Cricetulus griseus: one gene and its partners. The protein of the gene in region 2 purifies or fractionates together with the protein of the main gene of each other region. This does not show direct contact. Links are inferred from orthologs where the notes say so. Each region holds a gene or a part of one and is shown on either strand. Other genes may lie near its edges. The genes, in order: Flnb, Isg15 and Hspb1.

What was found.
Region 1: the proteins of Isg15 (region 2) and Flnb purify together in Homo sapiens (affinity purification with mass spectrometry; 3 studies listed by BioGRID and IntAct, with this or other methods). This does not show direct contact. The link is inferred for Cricetulus griseus from reciprocal best matches to the Homo sapiens genes ISG15 and FLNB.
Region 3: the proteins of Isg15 (region 2) and Hspb1 purify together in Homo sapiens (affinity purification with mass spectrometry; 3 studies listed by BioGRID, with this or other methods). This does not show direct contact. The link is inferred for Cricetulus griseus from reciprocal best matches to the Homo sapiens genes ISG15 and HSPB1.

What each region holds. Positions count from the first base shown.
Region 1 is NW_023276807.1:75,740,916-75,745,063, reverse strand, and holds the start of Flnb (filamin-B), read right to left. Parts: upstream 2,931-4,148; coding exon 2,639-2,930; intron 1-2,638. UniProt on the Homo sapiens protein: Connects cell membrane constituents to the actin cytoskeleton. May promote orthogonal branching of actin filaments and links actin filaments to membrane glycoproteins. Anchors various transmembrane proteins to the actin cytoskeleton.
Region 2 is NC_048595.1:121,539-124,748, forward strand, and holds Isg15 (ubiquitin-like protein ISG15), read left to right. Parts: upstream 1-1,251; 5' UTR 1,252-1,405; coding exon 1,406-1,408; intron 1,409-1,932; exon of another isoform or gene 1,933-2,054; coding exon 2,055-2,546; 3' UTR 2,547-2,595; downstream 2,596-3,210.
Region 3 is NC_048597.1:114,890,641-114,894,095, forward strand, and holds Hspb1 (heat shock protein beta-1), read left to right. Parts: upstream 1-1,217; 5' UTR 1,218-1,369; coding exon 1,370-1,757; intron 1,758-2,380; coding exon 2,381-2,444; intron 2,445-2,559; coding exon 2,560-2,749; 3' UTR 2,750-2,872; downstream 2,873-3,455. UniProt on the Homo sapiens protein: Small heat shock protein which functions as a molecular chaperone probably maintaining denatured proteins in a folding-competent state. Plays a role in stress resistance and actin organization.

The DNA of each region.
Region 1 (4,148 bases), on a different chromosome or scaffold from region 2:
CAACATGTAATCATAAGACAAAACACAAATGGACTCCACTCACCCACCTCCTTACAGTCACAGCATTTAACTCTGGAGCCCTATCACAGCCCAGTGGGTTAATCTTGTCATCAAAGGCCCCATGATCCCTATTGCATATGAGGCTAAGGTTCAAATTTTGGGTATCAAGCTGCCACTCCAACACCCTGGAACTGCAAAGTGTAGGCTACATCAGCCCTTTAATCCGGGAGAGGGAAGGGAGGCTGTATTGTTTTCACCTCTGACACTAGAAAGAAATTCACTCAAAGTTCAAATTCAACAAAGCTTCATTCTAGGCCCAGTGTAGTGTTTCCAATCTTTAAGTAGGGACACTAATAATGACCACAGTGAAAGTAACAACAGCAACCATAAGACCCTCCCAGGACTGCTTGGAAAGATCATTATCAGAAGGATATTAATTACTATCAATTTGCTATCCTGGATATTCAATGGGAGTACTCATCAGAATACAACACACAGTGGGTGGCCCTATAGAAAGTGCCATGGTGAGCATAAAGTGAACAGTGAATAAGCAAACCCAAGTCCAAAGCAGGCGACATTTTATGGTTGGGTCATTACCTACAACATCCCTAGACATAGCAAGAACATGCCTTTGGCTCCATCTCCTCCCTCAGCAGTCTGGGCCCCTGGCAAGATGGGAAGGTCTCCAGAGAAAACCTGTTTGCTAACAGATCTTTCTGGAAAGCAACTAGAAAGGATTTGTATGTGGTCACACCCTCTAACTTAGGAATATCACTTGGGGAATGTAGTCCAAGAAATATTTTTAAAAGACAAATAAAACAGTACAACTTGTGAAAGTCTACTGCAACAAGCTGGCCATGGGTGACAGACCCATATCAGATGAATGGAAGGTATCTCTGGGATGTTAGACAAAGGAGACTCAGGCCTCAACAGGTTCGTGGCTGGAAATCAAGAAGACCAATTAGACAACTGCAGGGGACCACTGAACAAGTCCAGAATGACACTCACAAGCTTGGAGCTGGCTGTGGAGCCATGCTAAAGGCAGCTGCCCATGAGTAAAAAGCTGATAAATTAGGCAGTCCTTGATTTTTTTCTGGTGCTATGGTTTCTTTTTTAAGCGATTCTATGTCATGTTTAACTCCTGGTTTAATTTAAAAAAAAATTGTTGAGTTAATTAAACAAACACACAACTTTGTGTTTGAGCTCAGCCAGGCAGACCTTAAGGTTCATTCCTCATGGGGGAAAAAAAAAAAAAAACTTCCTGTGGAATTCTGCAATTCTGAGGTCCTCCCTTCTCAGTATGGGAGATGGGAACCCGGAAACCATGCCTGGAGATCCTGCTAGGAGGGCAGGCTGGTGTTGTAGCTTTCTGGACTCAGGAAGTAGGAAGCTGACCTACCTGTCAGCACAGGTGTGGGGAAAGTCCAGCATGAGGCTGGGAGGAGGTTCAGTATAGAGGAAACCCCTTTCCCCTGGAGAAAGTCCGACAAGCCACACCCACCTTCCTTTCTGTCATTGGAGTCACTATAATGGCCTTGTTTCCTCAGGAAGAAACCCCAGCCTAAGTAACCCCCTCCATGGACACACAAAGTGGAGTGCGCACACCCTCTGCATACGTGATACTCTGCACACCCACTGTGTTCACAAAAATCTTTACATACGTATGTGCGCACGGCAAAGAAGCGAGCCCTCACATATACTACAATTCACTTGTTCCTACGGTCACGAACCTCTTTAGAAAACCTCCAACTACTCCAGACTTTAATTCTCTAGCCCCGAGACATTAGGAAAGAAGCCAGACTCAAACGCCTTCTCAGGAAGACCCAGGGAAGGGAGTGGGACAGGGAAGAGAAAAACTGTCTCCTGCTTTAGTTCTTAGCTAGATCATACTTGCGGTGACCTTGGGCAAGCCAACTAGCCCTCTAAACGTCCACTCTTCTGTAAAATGGGCCCTAGGACATCTCAGTCCATGGGAGATTAAGTATTGAGATAATTTAGAAGGCTGTGGCCATACAGAGCTAGTTAAGCCTTCTTCTACAGACATTAATTACTATCACCACTAAATTATCTCAACCTGAGGCGACCCGCCACACTGAGCCAGAGGTGAGAAGTGAGAACATTCCCCTACTCCCAGGGCCCACACCCATTCCGGTGTTGGAAGGGGAGAGGAGAGTCTCAGGTCCTGTCTCCACCTAGGCGGAGAGATCCCACGCCAGAGAGTGAACAGTCGCTTCCTAGGTCTCCCAGACTCCCAGCCAACGCCCTTTCAACCTGGGCGGATCACACTGGGCACACCTGGCTAGCAAGAAGTAGGGATTTGGTATTTGACTCCAGAGCTCTGCCACCAGGGTCAGCAGATGATTTCCCTCGAAATCCCAAGGGGTCCCGCAATCAAATCTGCAGCTACAGCTGGAGGTTCTCAGTGCTTAACCCACCCGCAACACTGCAAGCAGCACCGCCAGGCGAACCCCAACGAGCAATCACGCCAGGTCCCAGCCCACAGATGGCACCGAGGAAAAGGCCTAGGTTCCTAGATCCTAGGCGCCAACACCCAGCCCGGGGAAACGATGCGAGGTGGGGCGGGCGCGCCGCCGGTACCCCGATTTCTGCAAACGCTGGGCCCGGACGCAACACTCACCGATGGACACGAGCTTGATGCTTTCGTGGTCCAGGAACTCCAGTGCCACCGACACGTTCTCCAGCTTCATCTGTCGGAAGGTGGGCCTCTGGTGGTACTTGTGGTGCATGCGCTTCTGGCTGAGCACCTCGAGCAGCGCGATAAGCCTTAACCCGTCGCTGAGGTCAGTCTGCAGGTTCCCGATGCGTTTGTTCACGCACTTGAGGTGCTCGTTGCACCAGCGCGTGAACGTGTTCTGTTGAATCTTCTTCCATGGAGCGTCCTCCGCCAGGTCCTTCTCGGTCACCGGCATCCTGGAGGCGGAGAGCGCACACAGAGGCAACGAGCTGCAGGGACTGATCTAAAAAGCCCCAAGCACACAGGGAGGGGGAAACCGAGGCAAGTGGGAAAGCGGCTCGAACTCGCTGCTACCCAAGCCGCAACAGAAGCTGCTCTGCCCTGGTTCGCCCCCGAGCGCCCAAGTAGCCTGGCCTGGCGCCTGCGCGCTAGGCTGCCCCGCCCCCGAGGCTCCGCCCCGTTCAGGCCTTTAAAGAAGGGGACTTCTGAGCTGTGCTCGCCCTCTATGGCCCAAAGCCTGAACTACTCCGGATTGTCTCCTTGGTTTCACCAACCTGATGTGATGATAGCCAGCTAGAAGAAAGAAACCTGGGAAAGGCCCAGAATCAGAGCACTTGCAGATGCAGGGGACTAGACGGAAGGGCCCCATGGAGAGAATGTGCAAACCATCTGCTGTTTCAGTGAGAGGGAGGCGCCCGTTCTCCGAGCCTGCAAGGCAATGGTGAATTAGACACATTGATTTCCTTATGTCAAGAAACTCAACCTTAAAGTCTAATGCCACACACACTGTTGTGAAAATGGTAGCAGTGGTGAAAATGAACATTGTTTTCTATGGATATTAGTTGTCTTTTACTGATGTAGCAAATTACCAAAACCTGACGTCAAGAATTTCACTTTTTTTGTTTGTTTGTTTGTTTGTTTTTCGAGACAGGGTTTCTCTGTGGCTTTGGAGGCTGTCCCGGAACTAGCTCTTGTAGACCAGGCTGGTCTCGAACTCACAGAGATCCGCCTGCCTCTGCCTCTGCCTCTGCCTTGCGAGTGCTGGGACTAACGGCGTGCGCCACCACCTCCCGGTTCCACAATTTCTTACTTTGCATCTCTGTAAGTTAGATGTCCCATCTGTGCTTTAGTGAGCCAAACTGATGTCACTGGCCCAATCGGTGTATTTCTTACTGAAATTTCTGATAAAGAATAGATTCTTTTGCCTTTACAGGTTCTAGAAGCTGTGTCCGTGCTTTGGTTTATGATGCCTTCCTTATCTTCAAAGCCTGTTAAATTGAGGCACAAAATCTTTCTCATCCTGTTACCTCCTTAGTTCTCCATAGTCACATCATCCTAGAACTCTCTGAAAGGTCCCCTTGGTTGTACTTGGCAAGCTGATTAGTTCAGAATGATGGGGGGAGGGAGGAAGTTCGAGACAGGGTTTCTCTGTATTGCTTTGTAGGTTGTCCTG
Region 2 (3,210 bases):
AGGAAGGAAGGAAAAGAAAGAAAACCAGACAAGCAGGGGACATAGAAGGAAGAGGCCTCAGGAACTCCATCCCATCTCTGGTTGCCATACTGATGGTTAAGGTTAACTTGTGAAATGGGCTGTCTTCATTCATATAGTCATTGGAAAGAAAAATAAGATCCTACTCCTTTAAAAATGTTTGCTATTGGGCTGGGAAGATGGCTATGTGGAAAGTAATTGAAGAAGACACTCAACATTAATGTTGACCTCCACATGTACAAGCACACATATGCATACATACATGCAACATAAATACATAAACAAAATTTATATATCCGATTCCTTCTTCTAGACTCTAAGGGCATCTGTACTCACATATGCACATCTGAACCCACACCCCATATCCAATCTACATAATTAAAAATAAACCTTAGGAAAAAATCTGAGGAGTAAGTATATAACTCAGTAGTTAGAGTACTTACTTAGCATGCATGAAGCTCTGGGTTCCCCATCACTGCAGAAATTGGCATAGAACATGTGTAACTGTAATCTCAGGATTTGGACAGGAAAGAAAGGAGGATCAGTTTAAGGCCAGTTTCATAGTGAGTTTGAAGTCAGCACGGACTGCATAGAAGGACTAGCTCAAAAACCATCTGACTCAATTATTACCTCTTCATGTAAACAATAAGGTCTTAATAAATTGTCCTAGGATAGAAATACTTCCTACTGGCCAGATGGTGGTGGTGGCCGAAGTGCATGCCTTTAATCCCAGCACTCAGTGGGCAGATCTCTGTGAATTTGAGGCCAGTCTGGTCTACAGAGCAAGTTCTAGGACACCCAGGGCAACACAGAGAAGTCTGAAAACAACAACAAAATGCTTCCTATAACCCCCCCCAGTACATTCTAATAATTATTGTCCTAAACAAATAACCAATAGTTGTTGTCTTTGGGCAGTTTTGATTGTCACTACTTTGTGCAGTTTCTGAATTAATTATTGTGGCATTTTTCCAAGATAACTAATTTTCAAGCTGATAAATGAAAAATAAGTTTCCTATTATTAGTTCCTATTATGACTTTTACATGCCTTATAAAGGATCTGAAATGCTGGATATTTAGGGGGTTTCATAGTACACAGGTCTCAGTTGTGATCTTGACCCTGGAGAGCCAGTCCCTTTTCTTCTCAGCTACAGTTTCTTTTCCTTTGGCTTTGGTTTTGGTTTTCCCATTCATTTAAGGTATGCCTTGGGAAAATGAAACCGAAACAGAAGGCTGCTCTGACTCCGCCCCTTGACACCCACAGCTCATACACTTAAAAGAGCTGCCCTCTCACACATCTGTCTCTGGATGTGAGAGAGAGAGCAGCCAGAAGCCTCAACAAGCAAACTCCTCAGTTCCTGCAGGGGACCTAGTGATAAAGCCTACAGCCATGGTGAGTCCTATTTGGGGCAGGAGCAGATGGTTTCCATTCTAGTTGGCTTTCCTCCATTCCTTGAGAGGGTCTTCAAGAGGTAGAATAGTCACAGTGTGGAAACAGAATATAGTTGCTCAAAGATCACTATGAGGGAGGGATTTAGGTTCCTTGTCTGCTCAGCTACCAGCCCTAGATCCCTTAGGGCTGGACCCAGAAGGATATCTTGGTGGGTAAACTGAAATGTGATGGTTGTAGGAGTTTGGTCCTTTAGAACTGACTCCTCTGTATCATCCCCATACCTGGATGGTCCCCTCTGATGGAGGAGAGGATGGGGGTGGGTATGGGAACTGGTCCTGTGACCAGTGCTTCAGATGTAGTAACTACCAGTACTGGTGCCAGAGGAGTCTTTAAACCTTTAAAGTGGTTCTCAACCTGTGGGTGAAGACCCCATTGGGGTCAAATGACCCTTTCACAAGGGTTGCATATAGAATATCCTGTATATCAGATATTTAAATTATGATTCATAACAGTAGCAAAATTAATTATGAAGTAGCAATGAAAATAATTTTATGGTTGGGGGTCACCACAACATGAGGAACTGTATTAAAGAGTAGCAGCATTAGGAAGGTTGAGAATCATTGCTAAACCCATGTGATGCCTGCAGACCTGGAACCTGAAGGTGAAGATGCTGGGGGGTGACGAGTTCCTGGTGCCCCTGACTAACTCCATGACGTTATCGGGACTGAAGAGGCAGATTTTCCACAAGACTGGTGTTCCAGCTTTCCAGCAACGCTTGGCCCATGAAAGTGGCAACATGCTACAAGAGAACATTGCCCTCATCAGCCAGGGCCTGGGCCCTGACAGCATTGTCATGTTGATTGTACAGAATTGCAACAACCCTTTGAGCATCCTGGTTCGGAATGATCGGGGCCGAAGCAGTATCTATGAGGTCCGGCTGACACAGACCGTAGCAGAGCTTAAGAGGCAGGTGTCCCAGAAGGAGCACATACAGGAGGACCAATTCTGGCTGAGCTTTGAGGGAAGGCCCATGGAGGACCAACAGCCACTGGGGGAGTATGACCTAAAGCCCCAGTGCATAGTGTTCATGAATTTGCGCCTTCGGGGTGGGGGGGTAAGGAGGGTATGCTATGCCTGAGGCCTCTATCCATAGCCTATGTTGGTAATAAAAGGTGATCCAATGAGAAGTTCTGCCTCCTGTGCTTGTCCTTCAAAAATGTCCATCAGTTGCCTTCTCTTCTACATTCCTGCTGAGGTCAGGTGAAAGAACCCAAGTCCATCCATTGTGACAAGGCCTTATGTTGCCAAGCTAAGGGACAAGGATTTCACAGTTAGAGCCTAGTCAGAGAATTCCCCTTCCAAACCCTTTGGGTAGTTCACATCTAGAGAAAGACACTTTTTCTGGGACCCAGTTCTGAGACTCATCCAGCCCCTCAACAACTAGTCCTGATCTCTGTATCTGGCTTAGGGACAGGTCGGGGTAGGTCTGTAAGTAATAGGATGAGGCTCCTAATGGGACCAGTTGCTCCCCAGATCCTTTGGAAATAGTGAAGGAATGTTCTCGGACCTGCCTGGGTGGGTTGTGAAGGAGGGTGCTGTATTTTTCTGTGGGTGTTTCTAGTCCCACCAGCACTAGTCCACAGAAGGGTAGGGCAGGGCCTCCCTACTCACATCAACCAGTTGCTATTTAGGACATGGGTGTTTAGCAAGTACACCTCATCAGGGCTATAAAGAGGGCCATTACTGGCATGTAAGGGGGCACCTGGATTCGGGGCCTCACTTGTCCACAAAGGAAATCCTAT
Region 3 (3,455 bases), on a different chromosome or scaffold from region 2:
GAAGAGTCCAGAGCAGAGAGAGAAAGTAGTAGACTGAACATGACCAGCAAATTGGGGTGGGGGAGGTGAGAGAGGAAAGCAAAAAGAGTGGGGGCAAAGGAGACTAAGAGAGAGGGGGTCAAGAGAGAAAGAGAAAACAGGGAGAGGACCAGGAGAAGGCACAGGTGGAATAGGAGGGTTATAGGGCAATGGGAAGCTGGGGCGAGAAGCCCACTAACTGGAGAACTTTAGGGTAGAGGGTGAGATGAGAAGAGCCAGCATTCCCTAACAGGTACTTGTGATGTTGCATGAGCCTGGAGGCCAGCAAGCCGCTTTGGGATGCTAATAGGCACGACAGATAGCTCTTTGTTCCGAGTTTCTTTTGTACCGGACACACAGCACTTATATAAAAGCTGAATCTGGCTAGTCATAGCGGGGCACGCCTTTAATCCCAGCAGAGGCAGGCAGATCTCTGAATTTGAGACCAGCCTAGTCTACAGAGTGAGTTCCAGGACAGTCAGGACTACACAAAGAAACCCTGTGTTTGGGGGAGGGGGCTGAGTGTGGCCACCTGTGCGGCTAATTCCTGTGCTGAGCTGGAAGGGTGGGGCAATTACAGAGACAGGAGGGCAGTATGGGGCTCCAGTATGCCCAGCCAGTTTGCAAGCTCCAGAGTCAATAAAAGACCCTGTGAAGGAAGGAAAGAAGGAAAGAAGGAAGGAAGGAAGGAAGGAAGGAAGGAAGGAAGGAAGGAGAAAGAAAGAAAGAAAGAAAGAAAGAAAGAAAGAAAGAAAGAAAGAAAGAAAGAAAGAAAGAAAGAAAAATCTATCAGGGCCAGATAGTTCAGTGGACGAAGGCACCTGCCACCAAGCCTTTGCTCCCCAGGATACACATGGTAGGAGAGAGCTGACTGTTGCTGGTAGCCCTGAGACCTCCACAGGTGTGCATGGCATGTGTGTGTCTACACAGGCGTCCCTCTGGTTCAGACCAGACTCAGTTGTTTCCCAGTTGGACACAAAGGACCTAACTTCCAACCGTAGTCTCAAAAGAAGGATGGGACAGGGCCGCAGGCCACCGCCCTTCAGCCCAGGCAGTGAATGCCCGACAGTGGGAACAGCTCCAGCTACCGGTATTACAGTCATTTGTTTTCTTCAACTAGAGAAGTTTCCAGATGGGGGCAGAACCTTCCTGGCCCCGCCTGCCTGTCCCCTTTGTAAGCTTAGGGGGAGGAATGCAGCGGGGAGGGCCGGCCCCTAGACGGTCATTGCCATTAATAGAGACCTGAAGCACCGCCTGCTAAAAATACCCGGCTGGACACCCATAAAAGCACGGCCGGGGCTCCAGTTCGGCACTTCTCGGATCATCTGCCCTGACCCGCACAGCCAAGAACATGACCGAGCGCCGCGTGCCCTTCTCGCTGCTGCGGAGCCCCAGCTGGGAACCATTCCGGGACTGGTACCCGGCCCACAGCCGCCTCTTCGACCAAGCCTTCGGGGTGCCCCGCTTGCCGGATGAGTGGTCGCAGTGGTTCAGCGCCGCTGGTTGGCCCGGCTACGTGCGCCCACTGCCCGCCGCGACCGCCGAGGGACCCGCGGCGGTGGCCCTGGCCGCGCCCCTGGCCGCGCCCGCCTTCCACCGTGCGCTCAACCGGCAGCTGAGCAGCGGAGTCTCGGAGATCCGGCAGACGGCCGATCGCTGGCGCGTGTCCCTGGACGTCAACCACTTCGCTCCGGAGGAGCTCACGGTCAAGACCAAGGAAGGCGTGGTGGAGATCACCGGTGAGTCCCCCTTGTCCCCACAGGGAGAAGCCAGCGGGCTGAGCGCCCCGGTGGCTGTACCGGGTGGGCGGGGGGAGGGTGTGAAGCCAAGAGGGATGGGAGCCTGGAAAGCTAGAAAGGAGCTCCGAGACCGGGAGGCCAGTGTCGTTCTCCCTGGCCAGCTTCCCTTGCTGCGGAACCCGGGCGCAGGCTGCGCCTAAGAGCCTGTCATCCTCGCTGATAAGGACCAACAGCTGGGGGTATAGCTCAGGGCAGAGCCTGGCCTGGCCTACGGGAAGCCCCGGGTTCTACGCACAGCAACGCACCCTCTGGAAGACCCCATTCCCAAATAAGGAAGTGCCAGGACTCCTGCCAGTGTCCCCGGTCCCAGCCACGGAGGGGGCCGGCACACAGCTCTGAGTGCGCCTGCGCTGGTGTCCAGCCTGGATCAGAGCCAAGCCCAGTATCCCAAATCCCAGAAACGAACTTTCTGGAAAGTTTTAAGATGACTCCAGGGAGTCAGGCATCTCACCGCACTCTCGTGTGTGTGCTGCCTTGGAGTCCCAGCCACTCCTTAGCAGGTGGTGGGGTCTGCTACCACACAGCAGAGGCTTGTCTCTGACCTCCTTCTGTCCCACCCGCAGGCAAGCACGAAGAAAGGCAGGACGAACATGGCTACATCTCCCGGTGCTTTACCCGGAAATACACGTGAGTTCTGGTTCCTTGCGTGGCTGGGTGGAGGAAAGCGGACCCAGGGAGGAGAACAGAGGGGCCGGGATCTGGAGGGATGTGTAACCCTTGTCCTGTTTTTCTTCTTGTCCAGGCTGCCTCCCGGTGTGGACCCCACCCTGGTGTCCTCTTCCCTGTCCCCTGAGGGCACACTTACCGTGGAGGCTCCGCTGCCCAAAACAGCCACACAATCCGCGGAGATCACCATTCCGGTCACTTTCGAGGCCCGCGCCCAAATTGGGGGCCAGGAAGCTGGGAAGTCGGAACAGTCTGGAGCCAAGTAGAAGCCATCAGCCTGCTGCATCCCCAACAGCCATCACTCGCCACCCCTCTCTATCAGTCTTTATGCTCTTTTGATACATGTACTTTCTGTTTTTCTCAAATAAAAGTTGGAAGCTACTGCTTGCCACCGTCTCAGACCCCGGTGTTTCTGGCGGGCTAGGGATGAGTGCTCCTTTGGTGTCTTTGCGATGGGCTCAGCCCCTTCTTGGGTTCAGCCTAACATTTCCCTAGGAAGAAGGAAAAAAATGATAATCTGGAGATTAAAATTTTACCAGGGTGGGGCTGGGCATGATGGTGCATGCCTGTAATTCCAGCACCCAGAAGCTGATGCAGGAGCATGGTGAATTTGAAGCCAGCCTGGACTACAGAGTGAGTTCCAGGAGTGCCCGGGCCACATACTTGTTGTCTCCAAAACAAAACAAAAAACAGGAGCTGGGGATGTAGTTCACAAGAGTGATTGTATGGCATGAGGCACTGTTTGACACCGCCCCCCACCCCCGCCCCAGCTTGCACACACACATCCAAAAGCATGGTAACGCATACCTGTAAGTCCAGCATTACAGAGGATCAGAAGTTTAAGGTTATCCTTGGCTATATAGCCAGTTTGAGGTCAGCATGGGACACATGAAAACTATGTCTCAAAAGGAAATTAATGGGGAATTGGAGAGATGGCTCAGAGGTTAAGAGCAGTAGCTGCTCTTCCACAGG